3 linked regions of the Alligator mississippiensis genome follow. The protein of the gene in region 2 purifies or fractionates together with the protein of the main gene of each other region. This does not show direct contact. Links are inferred from orthologs where the notes say so. Each region holds a gene or a part of one and is shown on either strand. Other genes may lie near its edges.

Region 1 (8,019 bases), about 240 Mb from region 2:
GTTTTCCCTAGGACTACATACATGCAGAATATCACATTTGCATCTGCAGAACTCAAAGTACTTTATAGAGAACAGAGTATTACATATTATCCCCATTTTACAGATGGGAATTTAAATGCAAAAGAGTTGAAGCCACTGACTAAGTGATTTGCTCAGTATCACATAGCAAATTAGTAGTACAGCTAGAAAAGCAGCCTAGGCTCCTGAGTCCTATTTCCCTGCCCTGTCCATTGAACCTTGACACAGCATATTGCTAGTTACTATTTTGTCATGCTGATTTATACTTACCGTAATAAATAATTACCATCACAAAAGTAACTCACAATACAAGCAGAGAATTTACTAGTACAACACACACCACGCACAATACAAACAGAAGCCACAACAGATAGTGTTAAGTGCAAAGATTTTTTTAAATGTCATGGTCACAACAAACAGCACAACTCACAATATTTAAATGAATCTCATGTATAACAATTTGGAAACCTGTTTGGTTTTTTTTAATTTAAATAATATGCTGCACTTGGTAACAGGTGTGTCTTGGTCTAATCTGTTTCTTAGTGCCAGATGAAGCAAGGGAAAGGAGCTCTTTCATGATCTTAGTTATCGTGTGCATCAGAATTAAAAAAGTCTTGGAGATTCTGTACATTCCTATGAAAAAATGAGGAAACAAATGGAAAAAATAAGGACATATCCAAGGTTTGTGAAATCAATGTTGAGAAGAAGAAATATAAATAGTTGTCCATTTTATAAGCCTCCAAAGCATTTAAACAGAAACACAAACATAGTTGTGGTGACACCCTGCTTGTTCTGTATAGACACCTAAACCTTTGTTACATCAAGGTTAGATTACTACGATGTATTCTACTCAGGGCTGCAGCTTTTCAGGAAGTGAAAAATATGGTGGACTAAATATAATACAGTTTGCCTTTGTACCTGCATTTTGATTTACCACCTAATTTGGGGAGTCAGATTTCAGATGTGTGCTCCTTCATTCAGACCTCCCCCACATAATTTGCCTGGCAAAATTTTTCACGCACATCCCCTGAGAAAATAGGGTTTTTTTAAATGAGCAAGTAATATATATGGCTTTTCATTGTCGGTGATCATGAAGGCAAAGATTTTGTGCCTTGGCTGGCATATTTTAATGGTAATTGAATTGGGCTCCCCAAAAGGCCAGGCTTATCAAGTTTAGGCCTTGATCTTGCATTAATACAGGGCAAGTCTACACGTGCATTAATGTGCCTTTTCTAATGCGCAGTAAATTTAATACCTCTAATGTGAGGTACTAAATTAATGAGCATTAGGCTGTGCTAGTGCACAGTAGCGCATTTGCATGCTTTTTAAATGACTATGAAAAAAGACTTACTACTAGTAGACCTTTACTGCGCATTAGTGTAGTGTCATTTTTTCATGTGATGCTTTAATGCACAGTAAAATAGTCTACTGCGCATTAAAGTGCACGTGTAGATGCGCCCACAGAGGACTAGATGCTTGTGAGTAGTCTCTTTGCACCTGTGTGTCTTTACAGGATTGGGGGTCCACATTTGATCCTACAGTCCTTTCTGCATGCAAAGCATCTGGGGAAGTCAGTCCAAGGAGCATAAAGCATTTCCAGTATGCACCGTCTGGAACTTTATAGAAAAATAACTTTTGTGCTGTCTGTGTTTGCTGGGTGTTGTCCTGTTTATTTCATAGCAATTATTTTGGAATTAGATGTGTTTATTGCAGCCAGATTTTAGAACATATGATTTAGGAGTCTTGGGTTCTATTTCCAACTCTGCCACTGACCTACTGTGTGACCTTAGGCAATTTAATAGTTGCTCTTGGCTCTGACCCTGACAATACTTATTTATAGGACTAGACCATTCATTCTAGGGGACTAGTCACCTGTGTTAATGTCGGCAAGATTGGGACCCTTGGGCTGAAAACACAGTGCTAGGAGCTCAGCGCTGGCTTCCCAGCTCTTTTACAGGTTGAGACACCACTATATACAATTTCCCTGACCTGACTTGATTTACCCTTCTTCAAAATGGGCACAAGAGGACCTGACAGGAGTGGTGACAGGCTTAAATAATTAACACCCGAGACGCTTTGACAGTGAATGCTACAGAGTGCCAATAAAAGGATTACAGTGCTCTATTAATACCAGTGCATCATTGTCCTTATCTGTAAAAAAAAAAAAAGGGGACAGTATCCACGATTGCAAAATACTTTACAATGCAGGATAAGCATAAGGTATGATTATTATTTATTGCATTTCATAATCTCTTCGAATGTACAAACCAGCCTGTCCTTCTGAGAGATATACATCACACATGCATATATGTACACACACACACATATATACACATACACACATATGTATATATTCACATATATGTATACATATACACACAATTATATACACACACATCTATATATATATATGCACACGTCTATATATACACACATGTATATGCATATATACACACATATACATGCATATGTATGCATATTTTGTATGTGTGTATGCATATTTTGTATGTGTGTATGTATGTATGCGTGTGCATGCTTGTATATAGATGTGTGTGTGTGTGCATGCATGCGTGCACATGTCTATATTTGCAATCTACTAAGGCAAATCTTATTTCTTAACACTCCTAGGCCTGGCTGCTCCTCCAGGCTCGGAGGAAGGACCCAGGCGAGCCAGGAGCCTGCAAGCTCTGGGGCTCCCACTTCAGGGCGTTTCCTGGCCCCCACCTGCCCTGGGTGCAGCACCCCCCTGCAGCCCAGCTCGCCCGTGGGCTCCGCCAAGCCCCACTGCGGAGCTCTCGTGCTCCCTCCCCGGGGCTCAGCTTTGCCTCGGGGCGACCCGGCTGCACCATGTCGCCTCCCTTTCTTCTGCGGGGCTGGGGGAAGAGCCTGCTCGCTCGGATCCCTGCCCTGCTCCTCTCTCTCTCCCTCTCTCTCTCTCTCGACTTCAGGAATAAAAAAAAAATAGATTTTAGCAACCCGATCTCTTGTTTGCGCAACACAATCACTTTTTTTTTTTTTTTTTTTTAAAGCGACAGGGTGTCTAGACGCCCACGTGATTGGGGCCGGGGCTGGGCAGCGCCACTGCGCACTGAGAGCGCCGAGGCGAAGCCGGGGGAGGCGGCGGCGGCGGCTGCACGGAGGAGCGGCGGGGCGGCCGCTGGGCACCGGGGCATGGGCACGGGGAGCTGAGCCGAGCCGAGCCGAGCCGAGCTGAGCTGTTGCTGGCGGGGGACAGGCTCTGCTCCCCGGGAAGCAAGGAGGCAGCGGAGGGGAGAGAGAGGGAGAAGCCAGGAAGGAAAGCCGAGCCGAGCCGAGCCGAGCCGGAGGAGCTGCTCCTTCCCCCCCGCCTCTTCCCTGCGTATCGGGAGCCGATGCGGGGAGGAGGCAGCCGCAGGCAGCGCGCAGGGCTGAGCCGGAGCCGGAGCCGGAGCCGAGCCCTCGGGGCTGGGGACCGTCGGTAGCGAGAGGATCCTCCCGGGCACCTCGCAGCAGCCGCCGCCTCCTCCGCGCCCCGACCCCGTCCCCGTCCCCGTCCCCGCCCGGGCGCGGCGGGAGGAGTTTGGGGACAAGTCGACTGGAAATAAAACTGCCCGCGCGGCTCCCGCTGCCGGCGCGGCCACGAGACGAGGGGGATCTCACCCTCGGATGTGATTGATTTTTTTGGGGGGGGCGTGTGTGATGATTTTGTACCTTTTTGACACATTTCAGATTTTGATGATGACTTGAACTGAGCTTGAAACAAGCAACCCCCCCCCTCACCCCCCACGTTGTACAGCTTTCCTTTCTCCCTGCCCCCCAAAACTTCCCCTGGGCTGGAATCGGTGGATGTTTGACTCCGGAGGATACCGCGAGTTTCCTTTTTCTGTTTTTCATTTTTTTTCCCTTCGTCTTGTTTTCTGCGAGGAAGATCTGCTCTGCTCGGGGGGCGGCGGGGGCGCTGCGTGTTTTGGGGGGCGGCTGCTGATTTGATCGGGGGCCGGTGTCGGCGGGCGGGCGCGGCTCGATGCCGGGCGCGGAGCCCCGCGGGAGCCCCGCGCCCCGTCCCGCCGGCTAGCGCCGCACCGCGCCGCGCCGCCGAGCGAGACTGGCGCATGTGGCACCGCGCTGGGGCTCGCGGGCTGCCGGCGCTCGCTGCCTGGACGCGGAGCCCGGATCCTTCATGACTTGCGGACGACATGCTCGTTTTGTAGCCGGGCACCCCGCTCCTCGTCCCGCATGTTCAGGACCAAACGCTCGGTGCTCGTCCGGCGACTCTGGAGGAGCCGCGCTCCCGGCGGGGAGGACGAGGCGGGCGACGCCGCCGCGGACAGCCGGGCGCATGGGGCCGGCGGCGGCCGGGGCTGCTGCATGGGCAAGGCGGGCAAGCTCGGCAAGGCGGCGCTGGGCTCCGAGGCGGAGCTGAAGGCGCTGACCCACGCCGTGCTCAAGAGGCTGAAGGAGAAACAGCTGGAGGGGCTTTTGCAAGCCGTGGAGTCCCGAGGGGGCACCCGGACCTCCTGCCTCCTGCTGCCCGGCAAGGTGGACTCCAGACTGGGTCAGCATTGGTACTCCCTCCCTTTGCTGCTATGTAAAATATTCAGGTGGCCCGATCTCAGGCATTGCTCGGAAGTCAAGAGGTTATGTTGCTGTGAATCTTATGGAAAAACTCATCCAGAGCTGGTCTGCTGCAATCCCCATCACCTTAGCAGGCTCTGCGAACTAGGTACGGACAAGGGGGGGACACGCGTGTGCGCGCACACGAGACACACGTACGCGCACGCACACACATGTGGTTTGTATGGATTGCATGCACACACGTGTGTGGTCTATGGACTACACACACAGGCTGTACACATGTCCTATATGGGCTGCACACGCATGTGGTCTAGACTACACACACGTGTCTATGGACTGCACACACACACACACGGTCCATATGGACTGGTTGGACACTTGTGAGTGTGCATGGGGGTGGCAGGGCTGGGGGGTGCGTGGTTGCATGTGCGGAAAATTTGGGGGTGGAAAGAGGTGCTGAGCCTGGGGGTTTGGTAGCGGCGCTGAGCGGGCAGAGCAGGATGGTGCCCGCCCCGGGGCTGCGGGAGGGGAAGGATTCGGGAGACTTGAACTTGGGGGCTTGGCCCGGCCTGGCCTGAGCGGCAGAGCAGCCCGCCTAAGCACCGGGGGACAGGCCCCCTTGCTCCTCCGTGCATACAGACATGCCCAGCCGGGCTGGGATGTGCAGGCGCTGGGGGCCAGTGGGTCCCAGCCCCCGCCAGCAAGAAAACGTTTGAGAGCTGCAGCCATGCTGCCGCCTCCTCCAGGCACAGCTTTGTGTCTCCAAATAAGCCCCAGCAAAAAAAGTGTCGGTGCATTTGCCTGGCCAGTGGCATGAAGGCAGGGCTCCCCCGGCAGTGCTCGTGGTGGTGCTGTTCCGGGCGGCGTGGCGCCCCCGGCCCGACCCGGCCGGCCTCCGCCTCTCCCCTCCTCCTTCGGAAAACATGGCAATTACTTGCAAACTTTGCTTAGCTGCTGTAGCACAGAAATCGGCCCCTTCTGACTAGTGGGGAATTGCTGAAGGGCAGCCCTTGATTATTATTTTCCTCCTTCCACTTCCCCCCCTCTTCCCCCCAGCCTTTCTTTTTTTTTTTTTTTTTTTTCCCTTTTCTGTGAAATGTTAAATGTGTATGCAGCTAGCAAGGATTATCTGGCAGTCGGGATCAGTTGGTGATTTCCAGAGCTGGAGTGTTTTAGCTGAGCCAAGGAGGCCCTGATCAGACAGCCAGAGTAGCAGATAGCAGGGAGACTGGCGCCAGGCGGCCCCTTTTGTTTATCTGACAGCTAAATATCAAGGCAATCGCCGCTTAGCTGCCCTGCCTCCAACCCCCAGAGCTAAGACAAACAGTTTTGCTAAAAGAATGCCACTGTTATCATAAGTTCCTATCTTTTTTTTCTCATGGCTCTGCCTTTATTTTCTCTGTACTTTTCTAATTCCAGAGTCTCCCCCTCCGCCCTACTCCAGATATCCAATGGATTTTCTCAAACCAACTGGTAAGTAGACCTTTAAACAGAGGCTACTGTCTTCAGATAAAAAGGGAAAACAACTCTTTCTCCGGGGAAATGTTTCTTGCCTTTGTTACACGTCTGATGCATTTCACTTTTTGACCATTTCTCTGGGGTGTTCTGTGCTTTTTAACCCCCCTGCCCCATAAGAAGAAATACATGTTTTGACTCTGAAAAAACCTCCTGCGGCTGTCAGATTTAGCAGGGGATCTGGTAGGGATGGTGATTGCAACTGCTGGCTTTTCCCAACAAGGGACTTGGAACATTTTGGGATGGATCTGAAGAGAAAGTAATGTCAATTTGCCCACTTTGCCTAGTGAACACCTTCTCAGGCAGTCTTCCCAGTGTAGCTGATAATGTTATGTGGCACAGGGAAAAAATGCAAGGCTTGTTCTCAACCCTGTTCCCAGTGATGATGCATTTAATATTAGTAGAGGTTGTAGCAGAGGAGTGTAGGAAATTTTTAATTTCTCATGAGTAAGGGCACAGAGCAGTTTTGACACATGTGGTTTGTGCAGATCTTCTTGATGTTTGAAATCCTCTGGAATTCAGCATTATGAGATTTTTATTTTTTTTTTATAAATGGAAGGGAATATCAAAAGTTTTTTAACACAGCTCTGCATGCCTGTTGCTTGTAATTGAATGGCAGACTGCCAGGGCAGAAGCCCATTTGAGGCTGGCACCAAGCTCTGTTGCGGTTGTCTGCATAAACTTCTGGTTGGCAGGCAGGCTCACCCTGTGTTAGATAAATAGGACTGGCATTGTGGAAGGAGAGAGAGGTTTAGTGGAAATCGGAAATGTGGATGAAGTCAGGGAAGGGCAGGACTCCACCGAGACGCTTCATATCTCTCTGAAGATTAATGGACCCAAAGTATTGATTGTAGCACGATTGTCTTTGTGATAGCGTCTTAAAGTCACGCAAGGCAGCCTGCTATGAAGGAGAGTCAAAAATAGATTTCTTTCTAAAGACCCAGTTCAGGTCTGTTTTTCTAAAATTGTTGCTGTTTGGTTGCTTGGGACTGGCTGCCTGCTAGAGCCCAAGCAGTTCTCAGCCCCCAGGGGATGAAGTTTGTCTTTTCACTTCACAGTTGCCCTCGGTCAGTTCTTAAAAACAAAAAAAGTTTGCTCTAGAAAACTAACTCTGATTAAATTAAGTTCTTAGGAACTTCCAGGACTGGATCTTATGACAAGGTCCATTTCTTTCCCCATTGTAAGCTCTTATAACACACAGGTTTCTCTGTGCCATGGGGAAACAGGCACAGCTGTTCAACTAATGAATGGGTTGCATGTAATATTTTGCCTTAGTCTTTAAAAAAAAACACTAGATAAAAGTTCATTATTTAATGAGGAGATATCAGTGTTGTGCTTTACATCCCTAACAAGTGTTACTTGCATTTACTAGCTGTTCTGATTAAGGAACTGTTTCTTAATATAGTCGAGCGTGGACTGAGTAGGACAGAATTTTATTGTTAGAGGAAGAACGTTATCACTGAGACAAAGTCTGTAACAATCAAGAGACTGATGCTTCCTTAGGACGTTCAAAGGCTTAGGCCTTTTTTTTAACCGAATAATGACCCTGGGGGAAGACACAAACTGATCTGTGGACAGTTGAGGAGGAGAGCTGCTAACATAAAACTGTAGGAAAGAAGAGTTAATGATTGCCTTGAGCTTCCTGTAAAGATGTTAGGATAAATCTATTAGCAGGGTTTAAACATCCAATCTGCCTTTGCCAGGACCTCATTTTCAGTTAGTGGAGTGATATATTTATTCATTAGCAAGTGTTGACATAAGGTAGCAAAATGTGTGTAAACAGAAAAGCCGCAGAAATGAATGTGCTATTTCGAAAGGAAAAGTTCTTCATATCGGCCAATAGGAAGTGATTAATGCTGCCAATCGGAAACACAAAAACAACTGGTTACTCACCAAAAAAGGTTTTTTTTGTGCTTTTTTTTTAATCCATTT
Region 2 (8,019 bases):
GCAGCATGTGGAAGCAGCAGTGACCATGAGGACATGGGCCAGGCACCACACACAGAGCCAGATGGCCTCTGCCCCACTATGTGAGGCTCCAGTTTCCAGCCACATTCCACCCACTAGGGCACTTGGCTCAATGAGAATCCACCTGTGGTCAGCCAAATGGGTGGATGGTGGCCAGGAGCTGGAGCCCTGTAAGCTGGGGCAGAAGTAGGCAGGAGTGTGATGTGGGCTGCCTCAGACAGGAGTAGCAGGCAGCTCCCACCCCCACATGCCCCCTAGACACACAATAGACAAGAGTAAGACTTTATTTTGAGCTAGTATGCAATCACCTCTAGATACACTACTCAAAAACATACAAATCAGGACAAAAATTATTTTCTGAAATAAAATTAAAATACATTGTAACAGAAGTTTGATTTTTAGTATATAGATAAAAAAAACCCAACAAATTGTAATTTGTTAAAATGATATCTTCTTAAAGGTTTTCCATGTGCTACCTTTGACAGCTCACCAAAACTTAAGTAGCCTGCCAGCTGAAATAATCACTCACCCTGGCTTAGAGAGAAAGATCTCTCGCTCAGGCTGTTCAAGCTTGCTGGAAATGTCTAGGAGAGTAGCCTCCTCTTCCCCCAAGCAATTTCATAAAGGGACTTCCTTCTCCAGCTTCCCTGTTTTTGTCTTTTCCTTGAGATTTTTGCTGCAAATAATTACTTTTACACCTCCATAACAATTTGAAAAAAATATTTTAAAAAACCATACATACAAGCACATGTACACACAGACACACACAGAGTAAAAAGTTTCTTTAAAATATAACAGCAATCTGTACATTTAAGACAAATCACTATTTTGGGGGGTTTTATTTTAGTTTTGGTTTGGTTTCAAGAGAGGAGGGGTAAAAACAGGGATAATAAAGAAGCTAGTTTAAGAACTAAAATTATCCCATTTTCTATCTGGGCATACTGAAGCAATAGTTCTTGACTGAAGTAGTATGAGCCAGGGAGAGGGCCTAGTTTTAAATGGTACCAGCTGATATGAGCAGTAAATGGCCATCAGCATGATCACATTGATTGCATCAAATTTAACATTTCTTGCAAATGAAGAGGTATGAAGGATGGCTCAGAAAGAATGCATCATAGTACACCGCCTCTGTTGCCAGAAGTAGAACACAAAAAAAGATGAGATGAGAAAGACTGGATTTAACACTTCAATGTAAGGAAAAAGTGTCAACAACAACAAAATTCAGAAGTGAAAAAAGTAGATACACTGTTTAGAAAGCATGCGTTTACCTTTTTGATTAAAGATTCTTCAATCAAATTTCAAATCATTACTACCTTAATATTATAAAATTTGAAGAATAAGTTCTGTAAAGTATATTTCATAAAGCATATAAGTTCATAACCTCTGCCAACATGATTTTAATGGTGCTTTTACAATATCATGATTTCTTTAGGACTTGCATAAGATGATGGCTTTTAAATGAAAGCAAGATGGAATAAAAAAATTAAAATAAAAAAAAAATAAAAAACTGTTTCTTACACAATTCTGGTTGCAGAAGCACCTTTGCACACATGGTTACCTATGCCAATAATCACTAACAGTAAGGGTCGTGTTACCCTTACTTTCCAGCTGCAAAGATTGTTTATCCATAGATATATGAGATTGAAGATTTGCCCTAGAATATATATGTAATACTAATGTTTCTCCTTTTCACTTTAACTGAAGCATTTCTGCAGTGCTGATCTTTGAATAAATTATGATGAAACAGAGGTAAACTGAAATCTGGTTCTGGTTAAGTGAGGTCCTAAGCAAAGCAAAAATTTGTTCTAAAATAACGAATGTGCAAGTTTTAGGAAGGTTATTTTAAAAAGAAACTCTAATGATGTAATACCTTAAAAGAGGTCTCTGGAAATGTATCAGAACCTCTGAAATGAGAAGATAAGGCACTCCACTTAACAAGTCCAATAGCAAAGTCCTGGTAGAAAGCCCAAATTTTCACCTACTGGGAAAGAGGAAGGTACTGCTGTCTCCAGATGACATGCGTTTTTCTTTCCTATGGGTCTCTGTTTGGGAAGGAAAGCCTCTCCCTTGATAAAAAGAAAGAAGCTTTTTTCCTACTTTTTTCGGGCAATTTGACAATCTCTTCTAGTTTTAGAGGGTCTTCCTTTTGAATATCACTTTGCTTTATAATAAGATTTCAAAAACAGAACATGACAAATCTAACCTGTCATCTTCTAGCCCTCCCAGTGGAATGCTTCCTCTTCTACTCTTGCTCCCACATACACACCATCAACCCGTACATAACTGATACAGTATTATCCAAGTCTGAACATAGTCTGAAATAAGGGCTAAGAGGTATGAACTATCCTGATGCCCATTACATGGGGGTGTGAACAACACAGTGAAACTATAGCAGCCTTTTATAAGTCAACATGAATTATTGCAATATTTAACAGGAAAGCATATAGGATGAGAAATGTGGTGGGATTCAGAAAGAAGTAGAGAGAAAAAGGAGAGGGGAGGAAAAAAGAAAGAAAAAGTATGGAGGAAGAAAGAAAGCAAAAATGTGGGAGATTCAAAAAAAGAGGGGGGCACACAAAATTTTCCTTCTTCCTAAATTACAGCAAAATATATAATATCTAGTTTAGTTAATACACCAGGCCATATTTTATCCTCTTTGTCTCAATGACATCTACATGTGCTTTGCTCTCTGCTAAGATTGGTATCTGATCCTTTACAAAATCAATTTGGTAAAAGTCAGTTCATAGTTTTCAGCAAATGCAAAACAGGGAAACTGACAGGATTCTTAGTAAGTTCATAGCTGCTATTCAGAATCTTATAATGAGTAATGAAACTAGGGAAACAGACCACAACTCATTTACCTTCCCACTACTCAAGCCACTTTATACAAACTCAGGAAGATTGCACCAATTGCAGGTGCAACTTGAAGCAGACCTAAAAACAATCTAGTATTTCTTAAATGAAATTTGCATTAGTTGAAAAGCCAATAGGTTAGAACCCCACTTAGTTTGGAAAGCTTTTTTTGAATGTGGGAAATTATTATTTTTTTTTTTTTTATGCCTTAACCCCTTAAAATCCCTATGTGTGCCTTCAGCTTTAATGAGGGATGTGCTTCTTACCAAGTTGGTCAACCAAAAGTTTTCTAAGTGTTCAGAATTGCATTTTTAAGGCAACACCCAACAGCTAGTTCCTGCCCTTAATTTATAACTGATATCCTTTTTTATTTAGTAGTTGCAGTTTAATTTGTCAATCCATAGTTACTAAAACTTTTTTCATTTCAGGCCATTAGCTACTATAGAGTTTGAGAGAGAGAAGGGAAGTGACAGGATGTACTGCCCATTCCCACCTCAAATCTGGGCTGTGGGCAGTAAAAGTAACACAGGAAGGGCTTGGAGAACACATCTTGTCCTTTCCTGCAAAGTAAAGAGTAAAGATGGAGAAGAAAAGTGACGTGGCGAGTATTCCCAGGTGGCAGCCCCATGACACAATGAAAGATGGGAAGGAACAGACGGGTACTCCTTCCTCTTCTTTTATTTTGTCCCAAAAAAGAACTCCATGGTTCTTTTTAAGATCTGGGGATCATTGACAACAAAAAGCATAGTTTAAGTTTTCATTTTGTGAACATTCCTTGAATCTCATTTAATCACAGAAACACTAAATTAACAGAGTTTATGTCTAGCTGACTTCACATTAGCTGGCTTCATCAGCAGTCCCTCAATACAAGGATAACAGTCTTCCAGTTGGTTTCTCTAATCAAAAAAAAGTCACAGAATTACCATTTATACATTTCCAAAAGGTTCTAACAAATTACCACTAGTCAATGTGTTCATTCACTTACAAAAGTTCATGTCATAAACAAAGTATAAGCCTTTATACTATAAAGGGTCACTGGCATCCATTTTTATTTCACACATACAAATCATCACAGATCTTACTAGCTAGCCCACTTTCAACATAAGGTAACACAACCTAGTAAACTAGTGGTTCTCAACCTTCTTAGACTCAAGACACTGCTCAAAAAATACCAACTTAGTTTTTCCTTTTTTTTTTTTTTTAAAACTTAAAAAAATAATAAAGTAATTCTTCTGTTGCAAAAAACTTGATCGTAACAAGTCAGAATGTATTTAATACTATGGATTCCTATTTGAAATCTCTGGGTTTATCTTGTGAATCATGTTCACATGCCTAATAGTCCTAACATTACAAGGCATCCTTGAAAGGATCTCAAGGCACCTGGGGGTGTCACGGCACCTGGCTGAGAACTGCTGTAGTAAAATAGGCATTAGCACACTGTGTCTAACCTACATTCATACCCAAGTAAGCCCTTCTGGTCACCTCTATCCAAGCAGTAACCCACACGGGAAAGAGGAACACAACTTCTGGGACTGTCTGCAGAACTTTGTCCGAAGGCTGAAGGACTCTCATGCATCCATATGATCTTTTTCTTATCCGCATGGGCCGGCCGTCGAAGCTCGTGGAGCACGCGATTAGGAGCGCAGCGCAATTAGTTGATGGCATACAGTGGGAGGCGCATCTTGTTTCTGTGGTGAATGAAGTTACAGCCCCGCACACGCTGGGGGAACCCACGCCAGGCTCCTTTTACAATAAAAGCAACGACCTGGGGCCTGTTCTAGCAATCTGTGGGTATTTTATCATTTAAAAGCCTGACTACTGGAGCTATCATCAGATCTCCCACTTGAGCAGGGGCAGGAGCACCCCCCCACTGCGAGACTGCGGGAGAGCCTGGTGCCTCCAGGGGCCGTGATGACAGGCTGCAGGGGACATCCCCGCAGAGCGGACTCCCCGCTCCCCAGTTAAGGGGAGCAAAACAGCGATGTCACCACATTGCCACCTCCTGTCCCCCCAGGTAAGGGCCCAGGGCCCCACCGCGGCGGCGGGCGCGGCCGGGGCTCCCCTCCCCCGCCCGAGCACACAAGGTTATTCGCTGACACGGCGACCCCGAGCCCAGCCCGGCACCGCCCCAGCGCTGGGCCCGGCCCGGGCAGCGGCTGCCCCGCTCCCCCCAGCGGAGGAAGCCGCTGTCACCCCCGTGACAGGCCGGGCATGGGGTCCCGCCCCGTCCTGTTTATGTCCCTACCGTGGCTCGCAGCTCGACAGCCGCCGCCGCGTCCCCTCAGCCGTGCGCGCCGCGCTGCCGCTGGCCCGCCGCCTCGCTGGGCGCTGCCATCTCACCGCGGCGGCATCGGCGGCCCGCGCGCAGCCACCGCCACAGCCACGGCCGCCCCTGCGCCAGGGCCGCCCCGCGCCGCCCTCCCCCCAACGGCCGAGCCCCGAGCGCGCACGCGCCGGCCTCCCTGCGTCAGCGCCTGCGTGCGCGCGCGCGGACAGGTCGGGCCCGACCACAACCGCCCTGGCTAAGCGCCCGGCCGCAACCAACTTCCTCGAAGCTGTGGGGGGGAAGGGTTGAACCAAGGGAAAAGAGTGCGGTAACCGCCTGCCCCGGACTGAACCAACTTCCATATCGGGGGGCGGGCTGGGACGAGCAGGGTCAGTCCCGCTCAAGCTGCAGGTCCTGGTTTGAGGCCGCCCTGCGCGAGGACGGGGCGGTACGAGCAGCGGGTCCCGGGGCGGGGTGCTGAGCTATCCCCGCCTCGCAGGGAGACCTCAGTGAGCGGAGACTCAGCCCCTAAGGGAGCCGGGGTAGGGGGCTCGCGCAGTGGGCCCTGGTGGGGGTCCTTGCAGGCCCCCGGGGTCTGAGGGGCGGGGTCACACATCTGCTGCAAACAATGCCCAGAAAAAGATCACTCACCTGAAAATCCTAATAAACTGACTGCAGAGCCGGAAGGCAAAAGCAGTGTCCCAGGCAGGACATCTCTCCCCCTGTGCTGGGATCCTACAGAAGTAGGAGCCCCTGGGCCCACCTGAAGGCCCGGCACAGGAAGGGAGAGAAAGGCACTCAGGGTGTTTCAGTCCAGCTTGTTGCTGGCACAACCGAAGGGCCAGCTGCTCTTGTGTCACAGGTTTGGGCTCGGGTCAGTCACAGCCACCTCAAACCCAAGGCCTGTTTTTAACCCAAAGCCTTCGCTTCATAGATCACAGCCCTACCTTAAGGGAAACAGCAAACTGACTTAAGGGGTTGAGGAAAACCAAATTCTGTCCTGAGCTGTTGCACTGTGAGCAGCAGCCGGTCTCATGGGGCCCAGCCGTGAGCCCCAGCCAGGGTGCCTCCCACCAGGACTCCAGCAGATAAGTGCAGGCACAGGCAGGGCAGGGCAGGGCTGCTCTCACTGCCCAGCCCAGTCCAGCCCTCTGTGCAAGGAGTTGAGCGCTGAAGTTAGTTTTTTAAATGTAGTGCCCCTCAATTCACAAGCGTGGAGGGTGCCTCATGTTGAAAAAGGTTGAGAGCAGTGAGGTGTGGGATGGGAGCCCTGCAGAGCCTCCAGGATGGTCTCCAATGGGATCTATCTGAATTTGTGTCTGTTCTTTTGAAAAAGTGCTTATCCACAAGAAAAAAATTTCCTTTAAGGTACCTAACACTATGTATTCATCCTTTTACTTGTTCTAAAATCTGTACCCTATAATTGAGTTCCCTGTTTTCTGACTCTGCTCTTGGGGTCTGCATCTGTAATTTGTGTTAATAAGCATTTTTAGCTCTACTTCATGACTTTGCAGTGGCTTGCTTGTTGCAGATGTGGTTAATGTTTTCATTTATGTCCAAAAATAAGATGCCATTCCTGTCCCAAGGAGTTTGCAATTAGTGTGAATAGACCAAACTGTTCAGACTAATTAATACATGGAAATGCTGTTCTGGATGGGGTGTCCCCTTATAGCCTTTAATTAAAGTATATTTTTACAAAAAATACTTTAACATACAGTACTTGATACCTCTTGCTTGCTTGCCTCTTCCCTACGTCCACCTCTTCATATTATGCACTAAATTGTCTTATAACTGCCTTAATTGGATGGATAGCTTCATGCAAAGGGTACCCATAATGTGTTCTGAAAGTAATAGTCAGCTGGCTTCTAAAAAATAGGCTTGTGGTGATGTTTTGTTTTCACGTGAAGCATAAAACACCTGAAGGATTTTTTTTGTTTTGACTTGCTTTGAGGACTGTGCTAGCAAGTATAATAAAGTATGTGTATAAATGTTTGCCATTTAGGAGCCTTAATTTTTTAAAACAAGCTGCAAAATTTCAAGTCTATGTCATCCTGCATGAACTTGAAAAAGCAAAGAGAAAATTGTGGGTTCCGGTTTTCCCCCTTTTGTAGATCACATGTAACCTTTATAATGTGCTTTGGCCTGCAAAAACTAAAAGTCCCAGTATGCAGTGATTCAGGATGGTGACATTAAGATGAAATATGGTATGCTTGGACCTTCAGTATTAGTTGCCTGCATCACTTCATTGGGTGCAAACAGCTAGAATTTGCTTCCTGTAACTTAACTGGATGTAAATCTCAAACTTGCTGCTGGGGGAAAATCTAGTTTTTATATGCATGTTTATTTTTATTTGTGTATTTTTTGCCAAACTCTCTTTGAGTTTTGTTTTTGGACAAATAAAAAATCTAATGCTAATCTCAGATAAGTTTCACATGCTTTAGATGTGAAACCATAAATCAGCCTGAAGCTTTTAGCATCTTAAAGCTTGAAAACACTACAAACGTAACAAATATAATTGGCTAGGAAAGTAAATCCTAGAGAAGTGGTATATTACTGTTGGAGTTGGCCTCCACGAGCTTAATTAATATTAGATTCTTATATAGCATTCACTCACTAGGCTTCACAGATTCTAAATCTGGGAAATTCAAGGTCAAATAAAGAACCTACAAGCTAAGTGCTTAGTATGTTGCTGTTATAGATTCACCCTTCTGCTTGTCTGGTTGTTGAACAAACATATTATTGACCACCTTTCTATTTCCTTCCTAGTTTCATCCAGAGCACAGAGAAAAGCAGCACAGTCTCATACAATAGGCCTACATCCTTACCAGTAAAGAAAATTGCCTGAGGGTTGGGTGGCAATGCTAGTCTTAACAAGTCTGTAG
Region 3 (8,019 bases), on a different chromosome or scaffold from region 2:
GAGGTACGGGAAATACTCAATGTTCTCCAGTCTCACTGTAAATCTGGAGTACCAGAACTAGGGGCTGTGATCTATGTTTACTTTTAAAACCATTATCTATGTTTACTTTTTGAGAAAAGTGGCTACCCAGCTAGGGGAAATGCTCAACATTCAACCTTTAATTGTAATACGTGGAACAGCACTTGGCTTGGGATGTGTTGGTAAAGTATCTTGAGTTTTGTGAGCATGAGCCCAAGTATTTCACACATTTCACAGAAGCAATCAAGAGTGACCTGGAGCTCTTCGATTGACTGAGCATATATGACACAATCATCAGCACATTCAAGATCAGTAATGGAGACATTGGGTTATCTTGAATTTGGACTGTAACTGTTTGATGTTAACAGTACATGCAATATTGGATGTTGAGTCCAGATAGAAGTCTATCAGCAATGTGATGCACCACAGCTGCGATACAGATGGAAAAAAGAACATTAGTGCAACCTCACATCCTTGCTTGAGTCCAGTTCTAATAGTGAAGGAGTCCATTTCCAAGCCACTGCTTAAGATGGCTGTTGTCATGTCATCATGAAGAAATCTGATAATGGTAACAAATTTTGGCAGCTTCTCTGTTGACCTGACTAAGGCCTTTAATTCAACCAACAAAGGCCACGTAAGATCTTGGTGTTGCTCATGGCACTTTTCCCGCAGCTGTCTAGCAAAAAAGATCACATCTATTGTATCCCTGAGCAGTCTGAAACCGCGCTGATACTCAGGTAGAATCTCCTCAGCCAGGAAAGCGAGTCTGTTAAGGAGAATGCAGCCAGGCTTTTCTCAGCTATGGACAGGAGTGCAATACTATTATAACTGCTGCAATTCGATCTACCAGTCTATTTCCTTTTTTGAATGTGTGGCTATAGCAGTTACATTCATATACCAAACCAAAAATTCTTAAGATTATGTTTTGCCCTATACTGCTAGTTTGTGACACATTATTACTGTTTCCAAACATGCAGTTATCTTACTACCACATGCAGTAGTTACTGCCACACTGGTAAACAGAAGAGTATGTTCAATTTTTAATAATTTTGATAAATTATGGATTAATATTTATGTTTTTCTCCATTATTTAATTTCCTACGGAGTGAAACTTTCCTTCAACAATTCTATCTACATGATAAATAACTTGTTAAAAGTCTTTGTCTTAAGCAATCTTACAAAGGAATAAATAGTACCACCTGTCACAAGACAGGATAAAAGCACACACACAGAAAACAGTCTATGTCTAGGGTAGTTAGAGAATAATTGATCAATTTCCTGAAGAGAAGTAGGGGACACTTGGTAAACATTAACTGGAATGCTGATCCAAGCACTAATAGGTCAGGAGTGAGAAAGGAATAAAAAAAACGATCACAGAAACTTGGGTGTAGTGAAGGTAGTCAGAAAGGGGAAAGGATACAATGGGGGCAGTGTGTTAGAACTGAATAAGGAAAACTTTAATTTAATTTTAAAAAGTCAAAGTTAACAGAAAAGAGTTAAAGCCATTGCAAAGATGACCTTTGTAGTAGCCCTGTGAATGGACTGAGTTAGTGGGGAAAGAAAAATTAGGAGACGGTAGAAGCAGCTGAAATCAGAGATTACTAATAATATCTTGGCACTAGAAATGGGAAAGAATAGATAGTGGTGATGACAAAAGAGGTAGAAGGACTGAAAGCCTAGTGAAAGAGGAAGGGGGAACAATAACTAAGCATGTGTAGGTTGTAAGCTTGGATAACAGAAACTAAAAAAAGGGCTATTGACAGAAAAAATTGGGAAGAAAACTTGCAAGGTAAAAATGATGAGCTCTCTTCCTCAGAACATGCTGAGTTTGAAAAGAGGATGGGATGGACATCCTTTCAACATCATTTTGTATTGGTTTGTAAATGCAGCTATCCATTTGCCATCTCTAATGGGATAATATAGGATCCAGTTAGGAGGTTTGGGCTTGATCCCACAAGTGCAAGATGATTCCTGAACCCATGTAGCCAACCTCCTATGGACTACTTCACCTGAATTCTGTATGGTACCATAAGAGGAACTATAACGGGGTGGGCAACTATAGCAGGGGCGGAGGGCCGCTTACTGAGTTTTGGCAAGCCATCGAGGGCTGCATGATAGGCAGCCAGGGGCATATAAATATTAATTTTCTAAATTTTTTAGGGGCCCTGCGGGCCAGACAGAATGGCCTGGCGGTCCGCATCTAGTCCCTAGGGCCGCATTTTGCCCACCCCTGAACTACAAGCACGTACCCAGTTTGAGGATTGAATCTCTTCTCACAACTGTCTTATTATTACCCACTTTGGCTGCTTTAAAACAAAAAATGCAGACTGCTGAATTTGCAGTCATGGGAGAAATTACATTTCATAGTGCTCTTTCTTTGGGGCTCATTTTTCTCCCTCGCTCACTTATCTTTGGGTAAAGGTCATCCACAAACACAAATGCAACTACTGTCTCTACACAGACAATTCACAACTCCACCTATTACTACAGGACTGCTTTCTTATCTATACTAAAAATCTTAGTCTCTCTCTCTGGTTTCCCCCTTCTCTGTCACATCCAACGTACACTGCTTGCCAGCATTTTCAAAGCCCTCCAACTGATCCTCATCCTTCCCGTGCTCTCATGCAATGCTGAGGTCGACTCCAGGCTCCACCTAGCACATGACTTCAGGCTGCATTAGACACACACCTTTGTTCCTTTTGGCTGTCCCTTACACCTGGGAAGAGTTGCCCGTAAGCACCTGCAAAGCCACTTCATTGTTCTCACTGTTAAAAGACTCCTTTCCTCAGGACTTACAAAAACCTTGACAAAGCTTAGCCTGTTATATCCTTGTCTCCCACACTGGTCAGCACCACACCTACTGCCTCCTCTTGAGTATATGCACTTAAGCTGCTTATAGAAGTAATTCCCCCACAAAATCAGTGCTTTACTTTAAACTCTGTGTGCCCCTGCGTTGAGCCCAGTGCATGTGCACTGTTTTGGCACTGTTATCTAATAGCTGGTTGAATCAGCTGTAAATAAAAGTGCACCCACCAAAGCGCCCGATCTATACAGACACTGTGAAGTGGGGTTGAACCAAACACTGCTTCTTCACGTAAAGTGTGTTTTTGTTTTCGACCAGTCTTAAGGGCAGGGACTATCTGCTCAGGGTCAGACCGACCGGCGTACTAGGGGTCAGCAAGGAATTTTACCCCACGGTCAGACTGGTAGGGACGGTAGCGGGGGCCCTCCGACTGCGACCTCTTGCGTGCATGTTAACTAGACGTTACAGGAGCAGGACCTGCTTGACTCGTGGGGCTGACGTTAGTCTCATGTCGTGGGCAGACGATCAGCTGCAGGGACGACTTGGACAGGGCTGGTGCTGGCCGCACTACCGGCCTCTGGAGGCCCCTTCCCGCCCCACGAGTCTGCGCTGCGGGACGGGAGGCGCCTAGCCTCGCCCGCGGGCCCAGCGAGGAGCACGCGGGCGGCCAGGCCGAGTCCGGCCCCAGCCCCAGCCCCGGCCGGACACTCACCCACGTAGGCGCCCAGCTCCTGCAGCTTCCCCTTGATGGCGCCCTGGGGAGAGACACACTCGCGTTAGGCAGGAGCGGGAAGGGGGCCTTCCCCGGCCCCGGCCCCCGGCCCCGGCCGCACAGGCCCTGCTCCCGGGGCCCGACCCCGCGGCGGGGCTGGGCTGGGGGCGCCGCCGCCGCCTCACCCGGATCTTGCGGCTGATCTCGGTGCCGATCTCCATGGCCGCGATGGCTCCCTCAGCCGCGGGCCGCGCCGGAGCCGGGGGGCCGCGCCGGGGAGAGCGCGGCCGCCGCCCGCAGCGCCCCCTGCCGGCGCCCGGGAGAGCCCGGGCCTGCGCTCCGCTCCGCCCCGCCCCCGCCCCCAGCACGGCCCTGGGCCTCGGCCTGCGCCGCCTGCCAGGCCTCGCCGCGCCCGGGCAGCGAGCGGCCACGTTTTAAAATTCGCTTGAAGTACTCATGGCTGGGGCTTCGGGCATGGCCGGCTGTTGCCCCAGGGGCTGGGAAAGTCCGGCTTCAAGCACCGCACTCAGCCCTCATCAAAAGCCCCCGCCCCCCAATAAGGTATTACAGCGCAGGGAGAGGTCTGTTTGCAGGGGACAGGGGGCCCACACCAAGAGCCAGGAGGAGCTAGCTGCCCGTTGAGTCCAGTGGCGCGGCAGCCTTAAGCAGGCAGCTGCCCATTTTGAGGCGAAGCCGCTCGCCCTTGAAGCACAGGAGAGAACAGAGGAAGGAAAAAGAGAGACGTCTTGGCCTACGGCCTGTTCTCCCCTGCGGAAAGACCTGCAACTTCTGCAGACAGGTCTGTGGCTCAAGGACTGGGCTCTGAAGTCACCTCAAGACCCCTGGGCATCTAGTGCCACCTAAGTCGGGGGTGGGGGCACATGCCCCCCCCAGTGACCAGTCAGCGGCCACTCTCGCTGACCAGGCAGGGGTCCCCCCGTGGCCAATCTCACCGACGGCACCCCCACTCCCCGGCCAGCGCTCGCAGGGGGAAGACCCGTGCTCCCGCCTGCCCCCCGCCTGTTGCGTGAAGGGCAAGCAGGGCTGGTCAGGGGGGCGGGCCAGGCGTTGCCACTGTCGAGACCTGTCAATGAGCTGGAGTAGAGACTGTCCTAAATGGAGGGATTGCGGACAAGTAAACAGGGATGGACTTTTAATCTGCATAGAAAGGATGTGGATTTGTTGTAACCTGCCAAGGGCTGGGTATGTCTGACACTTCACAGGGTACCTTTTTCTTTTCGCTGCCGATGAATAAATTAGATGGTGGCATTCCTCCTCAATGTCCACAAGGTCTCAGAGATGCTGTGAAAAAAGAGCAAAAGGAAAGTGGGGAAGAAAATGGATTTGTAAAAAGGAGATATGGTTTTAACACCCTCCCCCCTGCAATAATCGCCAGACATCTCTATTTTTCTACTCTTCTTCTTTCAGGAATCAGGATTTTCTCACTGATCTGATGAGAACTGTGTGCAAATGTCTCTGGATGTGAAGATCACTGGATGCCATCCCATCCATCGTAGGTACAGTTCCAACCATGTTCCTTTCATTAGAGTCTGGTCCCATGCCAGCCCTGGGATTATCAAAACGTGGGGTGTGGGCAAGGTGGATTTAACCACCTGTACAAACCAGCATATCCTGGCTGTACTGACCAGCACTGCCAGGATGGAGAAAGGTAGCGTAAGTGATGTTGTAGCCATGATGGTCCAGATGCGAGAGGCAAAGTTTTCTTAGAGCGATATCTTTTCTTGGACCAGCTGTGTAGTTGGGATAAAGTTAGACAAGCTTCCCCATGTAAGACATTCTTCCTCAGTTTTCTGAATCTAGGAAGCCGGGCACAGCAAGTTATGCACTGCCTAGTGGAGGGTCTGAGAGAAATTCTCAGGCGCAGCCAACATACAGTTAGGAAAAGGAAGGAGAAAGACACAGTCTCAAGTCTAGAAGGCAGGGTAGATTTGCCCCCAATACCGTGTGCACACGTTTTCCCGAGCTGAAGCTCACTTCATGAATGCTGACCGGAGACAGCTGCATGCAGCCTGTCCCTAACGCAGGGTTGTCAGCTGGGGGTACATGTACCCCTGGGAGTAATTGAGAAGTCCCTAGGGGGTACATGCAGGCAAGTGGGGATGGAGCGCTGCCACCCACCACCTCATGCTGCCACACAGGCTCCACCTACCCAGCTGAACACCGAGGGCAGGGAAAGCTTGCACGGGGTGGCCGCAGCAGCTCTGCATTTGGCCATGCACTACCTCCTGCCCCACTCCACGTCCAGCATTGCCCCATGTGTGCTGGGGCTGGGTGGCCCCCTCTTGGGCTGTATGTGCTCTGCGTGTCTGGGCAGGCGGCAGGTGCGCGCTGCGCTGTGCACAGACAGCTGGGGGCCGTGAGTGCTAGCTGTTTGAGGTGGAAAGGGAAGGGAGGGGAGGGGAGAGTGGGGAGGTGCAGGGAGGGGCCCAGCCCCTTGTTCCACGAGCTCCGCTAGCTCATTCCTCCCGGGTAGCGGTGCCAGGAGCAGCGGCTGCTGCGGCTGCCCTGCGCTTGCCACCCCTCTCCCCCCCCGGGGTACACATATTAAAAAGGAGGCCGCCAGGGGTACACTTATTAAAAAAGGTTGAAAATCCCTGCCGTAAGGCATAGCCTGATGGAACCTGTTTCCTTCAGGAGGAACAATCAGCCTCAGGTCTGGTCTCTTTCCTCACACCACACCCAGCCTCTTCCACAGGGCCAGCTCAGTGTAAAGGGCCACACTGCCAGGGTTTGAATTATGGGAGAGCTTGGGGGGGCTAAGCGCCCCCATAAGAGAACCCCCCCCCCCCCCCCGCAACAGCCCGGAGCCCAACCCACCTTGTGCTTTTCTCAGCAGCCCTTCCGGCTGCCACTGCTGTTGGGGATCCATGTGCACACCTTGACCCCAGTTAGGTTTTTTCTGCAGAATCCCTGCCGTGCGCCCCCCCCCCCCCACCCATGTGCCACACACTGCAGCATAAATGACTGGTACCTCCTGAGACTGGGGGGGGGAGGGAGGGCACAATTTGTGGGTGGCAGTGTTGGCGGCACAGTGGTGAGCAGTGGCCACCCGCAGAAGCCAGCTGGGAGAGAGGGGTTATGAGTGGCAATTGGCGAATGCCCACAGAAGCCAGCAGTGTCAAGTGGAGACCACCAGCAGAAGTTGGCGGCAGTGAGCAGTAATCAGCAATGCAGAAGCCAGCTGCCATGTCAGCCAATCTTGGGGGCATGTGCCTCCCCACCTATGCACGGGAGGAGACCCTGCTGGATTAGAAATGCCCCGTACTTATGATCTTTGGGGCCCTGGAGAGGTGGTGCCAGCATTGGCAGGTCTTAAATATGAAATTATTGTATTGGAACTCAAAATTACCGTATTTGCTGGAAAAAAAAAAACTATCATACACTGAAAACGCATGCAAATAAGTTTTCTTCTGTACTTTATGTTGATCACTGTAAGTCCTCAGTCTGCGAGCAAGAACGTGGAAGTGGAAGCATTTCTTTATTTCAAGAGGCGCAGTGTTAGGAGGTGCTGACAGCCAGCCCAAAACCGGATTAAGATTCTCCGTGACTTGAGTTTTGCATTCGCTGCATCAATGACCTGCCTCAAAAGTCATCATACGTTTTAAACACTTTTACTATTATTGACCCTGCGTTGTACGAGGGCTGGAAGGATCTTACAGACACCATGGCTGTCGTACCCCGGCAAGGCTGGGCAGCGCCCGGGGTGCGGCTGCCGCCAGCCGGGCGGCCCGGACACAAGAGCACGCGGCGCCCCGGCTCCGGGCCCAGCCTTGCGCCCTAGTGCGCGTGCGCCGCTGGCCGGAGCTGGCGCGGGGACCCCGAGCACCGGCCGGCACTGCCGCATCCCCCGCGCCCGCGCCCTTGTCACACGGCAGTGGCGTCTCCCGTCAGTGAGCCGCGGCTCAGACTCAGGCGTCCGCTTGGTGCCTGTGACCGAGGCACCGAGTAAAGGCTCCTTGTTCCCGGCACATCCCGGAGGGGAGGAAGGGGGTGCTGCACGGGCACGGGTCAGCCCCGGGCAGGACCCGCGTTGTGCACCCGCCTGAGGCGAGGGCGGGGCGGCCCGGCCCGGCCGCTCCCACGGCTGCCACTAGCGCTGTCCCGGGGGTGGGCGCAGGGTGGCAGGAGAAGCAGCGGCGCTGCCCCGTCCCCGCCCCCGCCCCGCGCATTCCTGCTCCCTGAGGTCACGGGCTGCGGGCGAGCACTTGGCGGCTCCGCGTATCCTTCCGCACGGCCGGGAAACGCCTCCAGGCCACGACACTCCCCGCCCGGCCCCGCGCACAGCGCCTCCGGCCCCCGCCAGCCTGCGCCAGGGTTACTTGGCCGGGCCGGTGCCGACTCCCCGCGCAGCGCCGTGACCCGCGGCGGGGCTGTTTTCAGTAGGGGCGGGCGGGCAGCGGCTGTCCCGGCGCAGTCGGGCCGTGCGACCCGGATTGGGGAAGGCGCCTGCGTGTCACCGGATCGC

The links.
Region 1: the proteins of WWP1 (region 2) and SMAD7 purify together in Homo sapiens (affinity purification with western blotting; 3 studies listed by BioGRID, with this or other methods). This does not show direct contact. The link is inferred for Alligator mississippiensis from reciprocal best matches to the Homo sapiens genes WWP1 and SMAD7.
Region 3: the proteins of WWP1 (region 2) and PTPN21 purify together in Homo sapiens (affinity purification with mass spectrometry; 3 studies listed by BioGRID). This does not show direct contact. The link is inferred for Alligator mississippiensis from reciprocal best matches to the Homo sapiens genes WWP1 and PTPN21.

The regions. Positions count from the first base shown.
Region 1 is NC_081826.1:289,547,173-289,555,191, forward strand, and holds the start of SMAD7 (mothers against decapentaplegic homolog 7), read left to right. Parts: upstream 1-4,002; 5' UTR 4,003-4,233; coding exon 4,234-4,720; intron 4,721-5,991; coding exon 5,992-6,045; intron 6,046-8,019. UniProt on the Homo sapiens protein: Antagonist of signaling by TGF-beta (transforming growth factor) type 1 receptor superfamily members; has been shown to inhibit TGF-beta (Transforming growth factor) and activin signaling by associating with their receptors thus preventing SMAD2 access.
Region 2 is NC_081826.1:49,483,511-49,491,529, forward strand, and holds the start of WWP1 (NEDD4-like E3 ubiquitin-protein ligase WWP1), read right to left. Parts: upstream 5,281-8,019; 5' UTR 5,117-5,280; intron 4,657-5,116; exon of another isoform or gene 4,560-4,656; 5' UTR 4,537-4,559; coding exon 4,354-4,536; intron 4,351-4,353; exon of another isoform or gene 4,332-4,350; intron 3,768-4,331; exon of another isoform or gene 548-3,767; intron 1-547. UniProt on the Homo sapiens protein: E3 ubiquitin-protein ligase which accepts ubiquitin from an E2 ubiquitin-conjugating enzyme in the form of a thioester and then directly transfers the ubiquitin to targeted substrates.
Region 3 is NC_081825.1:271,808,469-271,816,487, reverse strand, and holds the start of PTPN21 (tyrosine-protein phosphatase non-receptor type 21), read left to right. Parts: upstream 1-3,902; 5' UTR 3,903-4,332; intron 4,333-4,961; 5' UTR 4,962-5,050; intron 5,051-6,990; 5' UTR 6,991-8,019. Other genes in the region: ZC3H14 (zinc finger CCCH domain-containing protein 14), read right to left, coding at 3,534-3,576, 3,719-3,754.